3 linked regions of the Bombyx mori genome follow. The protein of the gene in region 2 purifies or fractionates together with the protein of the main gene of each other region. This does not show direct contact. Links are inferred from orthologs where the notes say so. Each region holds a gene or a part of one and is shown on either strand. Other genes may lie near its edges.

Region 1 (4,043 bases), on a different chromosome or scaffold from region 2:
AAACATATTTAAACACAGCGGGCGCCGCTCCGACTGTGTGGGCACATTAAACAGCTTCTTTTGTCTTTACAATAAAGGTTAAATTTAGTAACATTCGCCGTAATAAGTTGCGTAATAAGCCGTAAGAAGTTGTAAAATTGGTTTTGAGTTTTTGAGCCAATGTACCTGTCAACAGGTATATTAATATAATTAAAATTTGTGTCGTTTTCATTGTTTGAAATAAGTTGAACTAATTTGTAATTGTCTATATCTCTCTGAAATATTAAACGGAATAAATGGCCTAGCGGTAGTTTTGTTGTAATTCAGAGCTGTCAACGAGCAGTTGAAATAATTAATAAAGTACCTACTTCTTTTGTGAAACTAATTTGAACTAATTCGACTTTTAATTTTTATACATTTTTAACGTGGTTTACATTGTTGATACTATTGCGACCTTTCAGCTTGATATACCCATTGTGGAACATTATCAATGTTTGTATGTTTGTTCTTGGCCGACGCACTCCTCTGCAGGCCATTCCTCCGATCGTGATGAAGTCCGCTAGCACCCGGGGAAGGTTTCTGAGCCAGCGCTAGTCTTGGTCGAAGGGGCCGCACACCACTACTACTATTCGGTTAGTAAAAATGGTGGCTATTTAAATAAATGGTTTGTCGAACTGAATCATAACATATTATTGTATTTTATGCCTTTAATTATATGTGTTTTTGTATACTTGTGTGTATATGAGTGGCTATAGACGATGAGCACTCGAAACCCTCACAGAGCTTTTAGCACCGGTCGAGTTCGTGCGGTAACGACCCGCGTCTACGTCTCTAATCATTCTTGTTTCTGGGGCTGTTTTTGTCGAGCGGCGAGCACCCGCCCCCCCAGGTATCCGAGCGCAGAACCAGCCAGCGCAGCGAGGGCTCCCGCCTTGATCCCCACCACGACCCCCACCGGTCCCCCCACCAGGGCTCCCGCTATCGCTCCGCTGGCGCCCAACGCGCCTGCCTTTATTCTGTTTGAGTATAAGCAATCGTTATCTACAAGTACTGTTTGTTGGATGTGAGGGACACAATGGGTAGGTGTGGGTACCTCTCGGCCGCGGAGAGGTGTTGACGCGCGGCCCGCACTTCACCCGCCGCCGCCTCCACGTGCGCCGCCGCCGCCGACACCTGCAATGGGGGCGCCGGGGACCCTTACATTACCTAACACTGGTAGTTTTCCAATTACGGAGCATAATGCGACTCAGTGACGCACAATGCTGAATTATGCTGAAGCTTAATTGGAACGTGAATTAGTTTTCAAATGCATCAGCAGAGTGCGCTAAGTTAGCACAGTTTTAATTAACATTGATTATTTCTATGAAACTACGACGAAACGGAAGCCTTACAATTTTTTTCAACATTAAATAATATTACTAACGATAATATAAACAAAATTTCGATCAATGCCAACTTAAAGAAAAAACACTTGTCAATTTTCTGTCACTGAGTCGGCATCGATTGCGAGTATCACGCGAGAGCAGTACTTTTGAGAGTGCTCGATCGTGCGAAGCGTTGCTGTAGTTGAAACATTCAACGTTGAGCATTATGCCGCATAATGCGCTCTTGTGCTGTAATTGGAAAACTGCCTTTGTGTCCCCGAGTGCGTGGTTTTTTTTTCTTAGTATGGTGGACGTTCTTACGGCCCACCTGGTGTTAAGTGGTTACTGGAGCCCATAGACATCTAAAACGTAAATACGCCACCCACCTTGAGATATCAGTTCTAAGGTCTCAAGTATAGTTACAACGGCTGCCCCACCCTTCAAACCGAAACGCATTACTGCTTCACGGCAGAAATAGGCAGGGTGGTGGTATCTAACCGCGCGGACTCACAAGAGGTCCTACCAGCAGTGAATAGTATAGCGGGTGTGACCCCCCCCCCCTCACCTGGTGTCGGTGGTGCAGCGCGGCGGCCTGCACGTGCTGCCAGGCCTCGTGCAGCGCGCGCACCTCGCCCTGCAGCTCGCACCAGCCGCGCAGCGCCGCCTCGCGCTCCCGCAACGAGCTCTCCTGCACAACCACGCGCACTCACACACTACACTCCCGGACACGCTCCCCGGTCATCGTAAGTAAATTAACCCTCAAACACAGCCCACTGAGTTTCTCGCCGGATCTTCTCAGTGGGTCGCGTTTCCGATCCGGTGGTAGATTCTGCAAAGCACGGCTCTTCCTAGGGCCAGTGTTAGCAACGTCATCAGGTTTGAGCCCCGTGAGCTCACCTACTAGTTAAGGCGACGCTGACATAGCCTCTCAAGGCTATCAGCTTAGTTAGGAAAAAAAAAATACACCCTCCAGAATCCAGACTAACCCAAAAAATAATCCAAATCCAGACTACTACTCTTGCCCTTCACCAAGGCGCTTAGTTGACTTTTACCATCTTATACGCTATCACTTTTTTTTTTCATAATTAAGAATTCGAAATTTAAAAAAAAACATAGCTAAGCAAGTTGAACAATAAATCAGCTTCAAAACTACATAAAAACTTATTGCTCCACCTAACATTTATTTTTAGCTAGAGACCGTCAAAACTTAAAACACTAGGTGGGCCGATAGATGTGTCCGGGAGTGTATATTACACTGAGTGTCTTGAGAAAACGGCTCTGCATCATGGTGCTTACGTGACCGCGTCACAATCCTCAATACATAGCAACACTCGGCTCGAGTGGGCACGAGACAATCGTAACTGCAACCGTAACGATGAACGTGGACTGACCTGGTCGTTGACCTGCAACTGTATGGAGGAGAGCTCCAGCTCGCGCACCTCGTCGTGGTGGGACAGCACGCCCACCGACTCCGAGGACACGGTGCTGCCCGCCGCCACCTCCACCGCCTCCACCGGGCGCCGGTTCGCCGACAACGGAGACGTATCTGAACCCACGTTACCAAACATTACGGTTACATTTTTATAGGCGTCAATTAGCGGAGCTGATGATCCACCAAGTGAGGAGATTGCCGAAGCCATCGGGCGGCAGCCGCACCGTGCCCCTAGGGACGTGACTTACGAGTTATCTTAGGGTAATCTTTCCATTGGCTGGCCTGATAACTCCATTGCAGAAACAAGCCAGACGCGGGCATACATATGTATGTGCATGTGTACATGGTGCCGAGTAGTGCAGGCTCCCACCACACACACTATAATAATATAGTCCTGTATAGCTAAAACTAAAACACCATACATGAGAACAAAATGAAACTCTTCACCGAAATATTAATGAAAAATCTGTTTAGTTATTACGACAATTAAAGTAGACCTCAATATCATAATTAATTTCTTTCGCTTCGCTTCAAGTGACCCGTTCGTTGCTTATATTGAATGCTCCAACCTATTGCAGTTACCTCGAGGGGTTACACTAGATTCACCGAGCCGGCCTTTATGTCACGTATTCCACGCCTTTTATAGTCGTGTCGGCTATGTCTACAATTTTCCAGAACATTCTTGATAGAACTAGATAGTTCGAATATGTTCTAGACTCGTCTTATCTTTTTTTTTTTTTATTGCCTTTGGAGGCAGACGAGCATACGGCCCACCTGATGGTAAGTGGTCACCGTCGCTCATGGACGTCAGCAATGCCAGGAGCAGAGCCAAGCCGCTGCCTGCCATGTATGCATTATCTTTGTCGAAAGCATTCTCTGGACTAGTCAGCGTATTCGACTTAAGCAATAAAAGTATTGTATTGTTATCGGTCCTTAATAAGTCTCTAAATAAAGTTAAAAATACGCTCTGGAAATTGAAAGGTTCCGATACCTACTTATAGTTACCATAGTTATTAAGAAAGAATTAAGGAATGGTTATTTTTTGGATTTCATTTTATCTTTATAGATTATTGCGTAATATAGCGTTCTTTCAGACTGCAAATCTTTTGCACACTTTTCAACTATATTGATGTACAAATTTTACTTTTGACTAGTTTTTGACGGCCAGAAAAGCATACAGCCCACTCGAGGATGAGTGGTTACCGTCGCTAATGGAGATGAGCAGTGCAGTCAGTAGCAAGTGTCACTTGTACCGCCCGGTAGCGTGG
Region 2 (3,953 bases):
TGAAAAGCTTCTTGTGTTCCAAATGTGGCAAAACATTTCACAACTCTGGATGCTTACGCCAACATCTCTTGAGCCACAGAGATATTGCTCAGTTCAAATGTGGTTTTTGCAACAAAACCTATAAATCAAGGCAGTCATTGAAAGAGCACTTTCGAGTCGCTCATTCGAGCAACAGTAAACTGTTTGTATGTGTTACATGTGGAAAACGATTTACAGCAAAATCAACTCTAGTCATGCACATGAAAAGTCATACTGGAGTAAAACAGTTTGCTTGCCCTAGTTGCCCTAAAGCTTACACCAGAGCTATTTATTTACGGGAACATAGCATAGTTCATACTGGCCAACAGAGACCAAAACCATTTAAATGTTCCAATAAAGACTGTGAAAGAAGCTTTGCCACCAAACATTCATTGTTGGTGCATTTTGCACACACTCACACGACAGAGAGACAGCACAAATGCACAACTTGTTTCAAAGGTTTTGCAACAGCCTCAGGCTTAAAAATGCATATGGAATCTCATGCCACTGTGGAGCTCCATTGCAATATATGCGGGAAGAAACTGTCAAATAAAAGAGTTCTTCAAAAACATATAAAAACTCATAATGTTGATGCCAATGACATGATATTGGAAACTGTTGTTGATAATACTTTCTTCGAACAAGTATTTGATGCAAATATGTAAATTACTATCTAGAATTTAAAAAACTAAAGAAAATAAAGCATTTGTGATTTGAAATATATTTATTAATGGAAACAATATAAAATAAGTATATATAATAATAATGACTGTTTACACTTATCGCTAGGTTCTTGGATATAAATGAAATTATTGTTAATGGCAAACATTAACTCATTGATAACAATATTAGTATGTATGTACCTTACTTTATGATGCAAGAACATAATTCATGATGAGGTGTCTGGAACTTTCACCCATTTAAAATTTGGATTAGTTAATAGAACATAGGTACTTAAAGTAAGTACTCACCTTATATTGGTTGTTTTGCCCTAATATTGTTTTATTTGCACACAAGTCTTATTTATATATATTTAAGTGTACTTAAAACTTTATCTTAAAATAGTGAAACCTAGCTATTATACTGTAACTGTCTCTAATTGCATGAACAACAATTAGAAACAAATAGAAGAAATTTGTCATGATAAGTTGCTAGCCAAAAAGATAACACATTTATTTAAAGATTACAAGATAATTTTTTTTACTATATACTGTGCACAATAAAGTTATGAAGAATGAATGAAGGTTATGATGATCGAATATGATACAGAAAAGGTTTACCTAAATAATATGAATCATACACCATTTTATTAGATGTAACTAAGTGTACATGATCAGCTAACAATGGACAGTATCACACAAGAACCATTATTACATACTATGAAGCTTTATAAAAATGCCAGTCAGCTCAGCAGTGGTGACGAATGTATAGAGCATTAGTATGCAGTAAGAAGCCTTTCAGACAATTTACATTACTAGTAGGTTTATTATATATGGATTTTTCCTTTACTATGAAATCCCCTTTTTACACCATGTTGTTTATCAAATTGCTGCTGGTCATGTGATTCAAATAAAAAATAATCTTATCAAACTTTGCCATACATTAGTATTCCTTATCACACAAAATGATTACACTACTGAATTTTGCAAACCACTCACATTAAAAACATGCTAAATCTTTATAAACAGATACATTTAATAGATTAATAGACCCTTTTAGTTGTTGTTTAAAATAAATCTTTAATTTGCTATAATTATTGCTATTTCCCAAGTAGTTTATTCATTTGTTTATTTTGTTTACCAATCTTGATATCTGCAATCTCAACTTTGTCTTGAATAGTATCCACGAGGTTGTTTTGCTGTTCTATCTCTTCACCAAGTGCAACTCCTAGATGTTTGAGCCGGGATATAGCATGCACCATTTCATCCAAGTTCGAATCAAGTATATTATTTACTCTCTCGTTTTCTGTTTCAGGACTCTTAGCGCTTTCTTGAGACAAACCATGTAGGCGTGCTGAGGGATGACTCTCAAAGCGATCTTCAACGTTCCTAGACATATTATCTAGGGTTTCATCAAGCCTGCTACTACTTGTACCAGCATTACGTACATTCGAGGTCGCTGGACTTTTAGATGGTGTTTGATCACTTTTTCCGGAAATATAATTCTTCAGACCATAAAATACAGACTTTATACCATTTAAATGTTTTTGACTATAGTTTAAATTGGTGTTAATCTCATCAAGTCGCCTGTCTGTGTTCTGTAGCTGTTCACGTTGTCGGGAAAGCTCTTCGGCCGTTGCAATACCAATTTGTTCAGAATCACGAAGCAATCCGATACTTCTCGTTGATGAATCTATTGTCCGTTGTTCGATTTCTCTTTGTGTTTGGATCATAGCTTGGCGTTGACGTTCCAGTTCTGCAATATGACCTCCATAAGGCTTATTTGCTTGCTGTGTTTGAGGTATTCTTGACCGGAAGCGATCTACAAATTCGTTATCATCGACGTCGTCATTTTCGAATAGGTTGTTCGGATTTGTGAAATATTTATGCCCAGACATTGCTTAAAATGTAATTTACTACGTAGGTGTGTTCTCGTTACTTTATTGGTGATGTTCAAAAAGAATGCACTTGAAATTATGGGGGTGGTAAGCACAGATAATACACAATTATTATGGTAGGTATGTACCATAAATGTTTATTTTAGGTTTAATTTATCTGATACGACGAGCAAAGGGATGTAGCCAAATAAAACGATTTTTTTAAGTGTCTGTCTAATTGAACAAAAAAAGTCAATATGCCACGTTCCCTTTGCCTTTCCAATTGAACAATTGAAACAAAGTTTAGCTCTTTGATCAACTTTGATGCGTTTGACGTATGAAGTGAGTCGTGGGCAAGGTCTGTATTTGAGAGCTTTCTTTCTATTCGCTACAAATTTATTAAGTCTATCATCAGAGGATTGCTTGAAAACTGAATACCTACTCTGTTTTTAATATAAGACAGTAAGTATTGTAAAAATGTTAAACAGTTCTAATTTATAACCTCAACGCGAGGACAAGTCAACTATTTATTACTAATTTTGATGTTTATTTAAGATATTTAAGAAAATAAATTACCATTGGAGTCAAATAATGTTCATTTGGAATTAACGAAGTTTTCTTTTACAGAAGCATTAACTAACTCTTGTAAATATGAGTCGTTTCTTTGCAACTGGGACGGACTCGGAGTCAGAGAGCAGCAGCGAGGACGAGCCAGTAGTACGCGCCCCCGCGCCAGTTTACACGGTAAATTTAAAATAAATAATTGGGAATCAAGGAAACAAAATTTTCAATTTATAGTTTAAAAAAAGATAAATAGTTTTTTAAGTTACCAAGGGAGACTAACATTAATCTCATGTAGGATGACAAGATATATGAAACTTTTTTTCGGTAATCAGCAATGCAATTAGCAAAATTTTGTAACTCTTTTAGAAGTTTTGAAAAATGTGATCCTTTAAATTCTTTCCTAAATGTCCACTATCAGTAGCTAATAGAGGGGGTAGCGATCAATAATGTATTTCTGCTCTGCTCGCAATCTGCTATTGTGCCAGCTTACAGCTTTCTAACGACTTGTCCAAAAAATTGAATGGGCAAAGGGAACAGCCATATTTTGTAATGATTGTGAAATTATTTTAATTATAAATTTTATTTCTTGTATTCAGTCATCTTTGTAAAATATGGTATAATATTATTAAAACATTTTTAATTCATAATAAATAAGGTATGACATAGGATTCAACCCATGTTAAATTTAAAATATCTGAAAAAATCCCACAAGTTACATCTTGGCAGGACAAAGGGTTGCTCGTGCTACTCTTTCGTTCCTAAACTCTTAGTAGACTTGTTGGTCAACTGGCATACTGCTTGAAAGATAATTTGGAGTAATATAATAATATACATG
Region 3 (3,933 bases), on a different chromosome or scaffold from region 2:
TACAGCCCATCCGATGTTGGTGATTTATCGCTCAACATGAGACTCAGAAAGACCAGGAGCACAACTAAGCCACTGAGAATTCTCGTTAGCACGTTTAAAGAAGTACATGTAATAGTGCTCAGAAAACGCCATGGAGAGCAATTCATTCCATCCAACGATGATACGTTACAAAAAGATTTCTGGTAACTGTGATGAACCCAATGGTTCTAGGTGGTAGTTTGGAAAATCTTGGTCCTGATGGCGGACAGTAAATGTCAAAAATCTGTCGAAATTATCTCAAACAATTTATCAAAGTACTCTTAATGGAATATACAGCACAAAGCACAGAGAGAACCGAACGAACCTCCGTAGAAACATCGAAGTCCAATACTCTCAGAAGGTTGTAGGTATTTACTTTACCACAACTACTACAGCCTACTTTTGGGTTTTACTATTTGGAACTGCAAAGACAATGCCTTAAATGCTACATTTTTTGAATGAAACTACGGATTATGCGAAAAAAGTATTAGGTACCTAGTTGGTTTTTCAATACGTGCATGTTTATAGTTTGCTCTTTGGTACCTACAGCATGTACATATTTAATTGTGATATGATGATTACTCTCTTTTATGATGAAGCAAGTTCGTGGCGTTCAATATGGACAAAAGTTACTATTGAGGGAGTTCATACAGAGTCCCATCTTTCTTTCGTCGTAAAGTCGTGTTTTATGTAATTAACACCACAGTTGAAACAATATAAATTTTATTGATATAGCGGCATAAACAATTCTAGCTAATTATATTATATTAGTTATTTAACACATTATAAATTATTTTTATGTTTTAAATATTTGGCGGTAAAAAGGTCTCGTGTCACAGACTATATTCTGTTTTCCACATCTCGTGCGTTCCGGCTTACGCATCATAAAAAGGTGCGTACTTAAACGCCACACTATTATTGATTTTTTATATGTATAGATAGCTACAATCTTTTTCTTGAAAATTATAATTATGTACATTTTAAATATTTTAAGAGTATTTTTGATACAAATTAATATTATTTTAAATGGATATACATATTTATTTTTATATTGTACTGCCAACAACGACAAGAGTGTTTTTTTTTAAATAATAAACGACAGCACTTTTTTATTCTGGCAGCACCGAATTAATCGATGACAGCGAAAGATTTCTTCAGAACAGTGAACGTTGATGACGACATTTTGTCAATAAAATACTAAACCCTTGACGATATTAGTTCGTATTCCTAGTGTTTAGTGTTTAACTAGTCAGCAGAATGGCGGACAACGAACAAAAAGCGATGCAGCTAATGGCCGAGGCGGAGAAAAAATTAAGTTCATCAAAATCGTTCCTGGGGTCACTTTTCGGGTGAGAACAATGAACAATGTAATATTTTTCAAGTTCTTCCAATTTCCGATTCTAGATAATTAATCTCCAAAAAAAATTCCAGAATTACGCTATTTTTTTCCTGTTCTATCATTATTATTTTTTTAGTACTTTAGAAGAAATCCTTCAGTTTTAGTAAAGATTAATGCACCTTGCACCTAATTGTCTTAAATTATATTGGATATTTTATGTTAAATTCAAAATCTTATGTGCTAATTTACTTGTGAATGTGTGCCGCATTCACAAGTAAATTATTAGTAAATTATCAGCACGCAATTAAACTTTAAAAGTAAAGAAAAATCAAGACTGCAAATATTTATTTTTTCAGTTCTATGGCATGATTAATTAATGATTGACTCACTGTGGTTTGTGTACATATGTGGAGCAATTTATATTAAAAGCTAATTAAAAACGTAACTGAAATAAGGTTTATGCTTAAATAAAAATTCTAATTGTACAAGATGTGTTTTAAAAAAATTTATACTAATTTTTCACTCCAATTTGTTGTTATGGTGCATTTTTGCAATTATTAAGTTATCAGATTAGAATGAACATACTAGATCGCTTAACATAATTAGTTTCTAGCTGATATTTTTGAAAATTGTCATGGTTATATTGCAGTAAAATGAAATAACTGCTCATCTATCTATCAAGAGAATTGTGATTTAAGTCTGTATTAGGTAAAATATACAAGAAGCTTCTAAAGGCAGATAATGCTCAAATAATAGTCATAGTAGGCTGGGGTCACAGATAGCCAGTTTAACTATTATTATGCAAGATGCTCTAATCAATAATTTCTCTTTTTTCTCTTTCTTTCTTTTAAAAAATTATGCTTTCAATACTTTTATCAAATAATATTTAGTAGTTTTTTATTCTTTATATAGGTGAACAAGTTCACATTACTTGTTGTAAAGTGGTGGTTACTGGAGCCAGATAGACATCAGAACTTGAACGCTACAACAATCTTTAGACAGGTTTAAGCCTCAATTGTGTATAATAACATTCCTTCACCCTTCAAAATGCAATGCAGCAGGATTGTGTAGCACTCAGCCTTGTTGGCTTGTGGTATACCATATTATTAGTCAATTATAATTATGAACTGTTTGTGTAATACTCTGCTACTGTCTTATCTCCAGGGAATCCCTTAGTGGCCATTTACATCACCCACAGTTAGAGATGGGGTGTACCCCACAAGATGTACTAGTTTACTTGGCATTAAGTGATTAGATAAGGCCAAGTTTACGGGGTTATGTGATTTTTTTTTTGTAATTAAATTTGAATATTTAATGGGATACAATATATATAATTTCAATTGGACAGGTTTTTACTATGAGTATAACATACATAGTACGTAACGAAACTGAACCAAAAGTGTAAATACTCATAATAAATAAAGTATAGTTAGTAGTACTGGTGGTAGAAACATTGTGTAATAAAAATGAATCCCGCAAAATTATAATTTGCGTAAGTACTGGTGGTAGGACCTCTTGTGAGTCGGCGCGAGTAGGTACCACCATCCTGCCTATTTCTGCCGTGAAGCAGTAATGTGTTTCGATTTGAAGGGCGAGGCAGCCGCTGTAACTATACTTGAGACCTTAGAACTGATATCTCAAGGTGGGTGGCGCATTTACATCGTAGATGTCTATGGGCTCCAGTAACTACTTAACACCAGGTGGGCTATGAGCTCGTACACCAATTTAAGCAATAAAAAAAAACAACAGCTCTATTGTATAATCTGTTCATCAGAGGCTCCTCAAAAATCGAAGAGGCCGTAGACTGTTATCTCAGAGCAGCTAACTTATTCAAGATGGCCAAGAAGTGGCCTCAAGCAGGGCAGGCTTTCTGTAATGCAGCACAGCTCCACTTGAAAGCTGGTGTTCGCCATGATGCTGCCACCAATTTTGTAGATGCTTCTAACTGTTACAAGAAATGTGATGCTAACGGTAAGTTCATTATACAATTTCTATTATGTAGTTCATGTCATACTTTAATTTATTAGGATCTATATAATTGTTTGATTCTTTTAATAACTAAACAGGTCAGAATTGTCAACAAGGTTGTATAGCAAAGATCAGCTTGGCAATGAAGATATTTACTATAAATTTTATCAATTCTCATCTGTGTAAATATTTTAAACACATGTGGAAAACGTAACGCAATTTGCTTAAAGATGTTTCTTAGCCATCTTTTACCTGATGGTGTATCCAGCATACTTAACTTTCAATAATTATCAGCAAATGTTATGTTTGCTATTTAAAGTTTCCATGATCATGTGTGCTTACACAATTTATCGTTTGGACCTTCTGAGAGTGATTGGATTTCCCAATTAACTTTGTTCCTCCCACGTTAATTAGTGAGTGGCACAGTGCTAATGATTACCTCCTGAAGAATATCATAATTCATTTGTTTAAATAGTTTTGTCAGAACCCATTCCAAACCCTAGTTTTAATAGCGAACTAAATAAAATTTTTTTTGTCTGCATTGGTCTGTGGCTGGAAGATAAAATAAATGGCATGTGTTTTTTTTCCATATTTCGTCATGTTCATTA

Evidence for each region.
Region 1: the proteins of soluble NSF attachment protein 29 (region 2) and syntaxin-17 purify together in Drosophila melanogaster (affinity purification with western blotting; 4 studies listed by BioGRID, with this or other methods). This does not show direct contact. The link is inferred for Bombyx mori from reciprocal best matches to the Drosophila melanogaster genes Snap29 and Syx17.
Region 3: the proteins of soluble NSF attachment protein 29 (region 2) and alpha-soluble NSF attachment protein purify together in Drosophila melanogaster (affinity purification with mass spectrometry; 3 studies listed by BioGRID, with this or other methods). This does not show direct contact. The link is inferred for Bombyx mori from reciprocal best matches to the Drosophila melanogaster genes Snap29 and alphaSnap.

What each region holds. Positions count from the first base shown.
Region 1 is NC_085130.1:9,423,760-9,427,802, forward strand, and holds the end of syntaxin-17, read right to left. Parts: exon of another isoform or gene 3,496-4,043; intron 2,890-3,495; coding exon 2,735-2,889; intron 2,032-2,734; coding exon 1,909-2,031; intron 1,153-1,908; coding exon 1,073-1,152; intron 996-1,072; coding exon 815-995; 3' UTR 669-814; downstream 1-668.
Region 2 is NC_085122.1:5,757,288-5,761,240, forward strand, and holds soluble NSF attachment protein 29, read right to left. Parts: upstream 2,576-3,953; coding exon 1,778-2,575; 3' UTR 724-1,777; downstream 1-723. Other genes in the region: gastrula zinc finger protein XlCGF57.1, read left to right, coding at 1-683; eIF3c (eukaryotic translation initiation factor 3 subunit C), read left to right, coding at 3,206-3,298.
Region 3 is NC_085113.1:1,629,103-1,633,035, forward strand, and holds the start of alpha-soluble NSF attachment protein, read left to right. Parts: upstream 1-1,133; 5' UTR 1,134-1,275; coding exon 1,276-1,367; intron 1,368-3,131; coding exon 3,132-3,328; intron 3,329-3,933. UniProt on the Drosophila melanogaster protein: Required for vesicular transport between the endoplasmic reticulum and the Golgi apparatus. Also between the endosome and phagosome.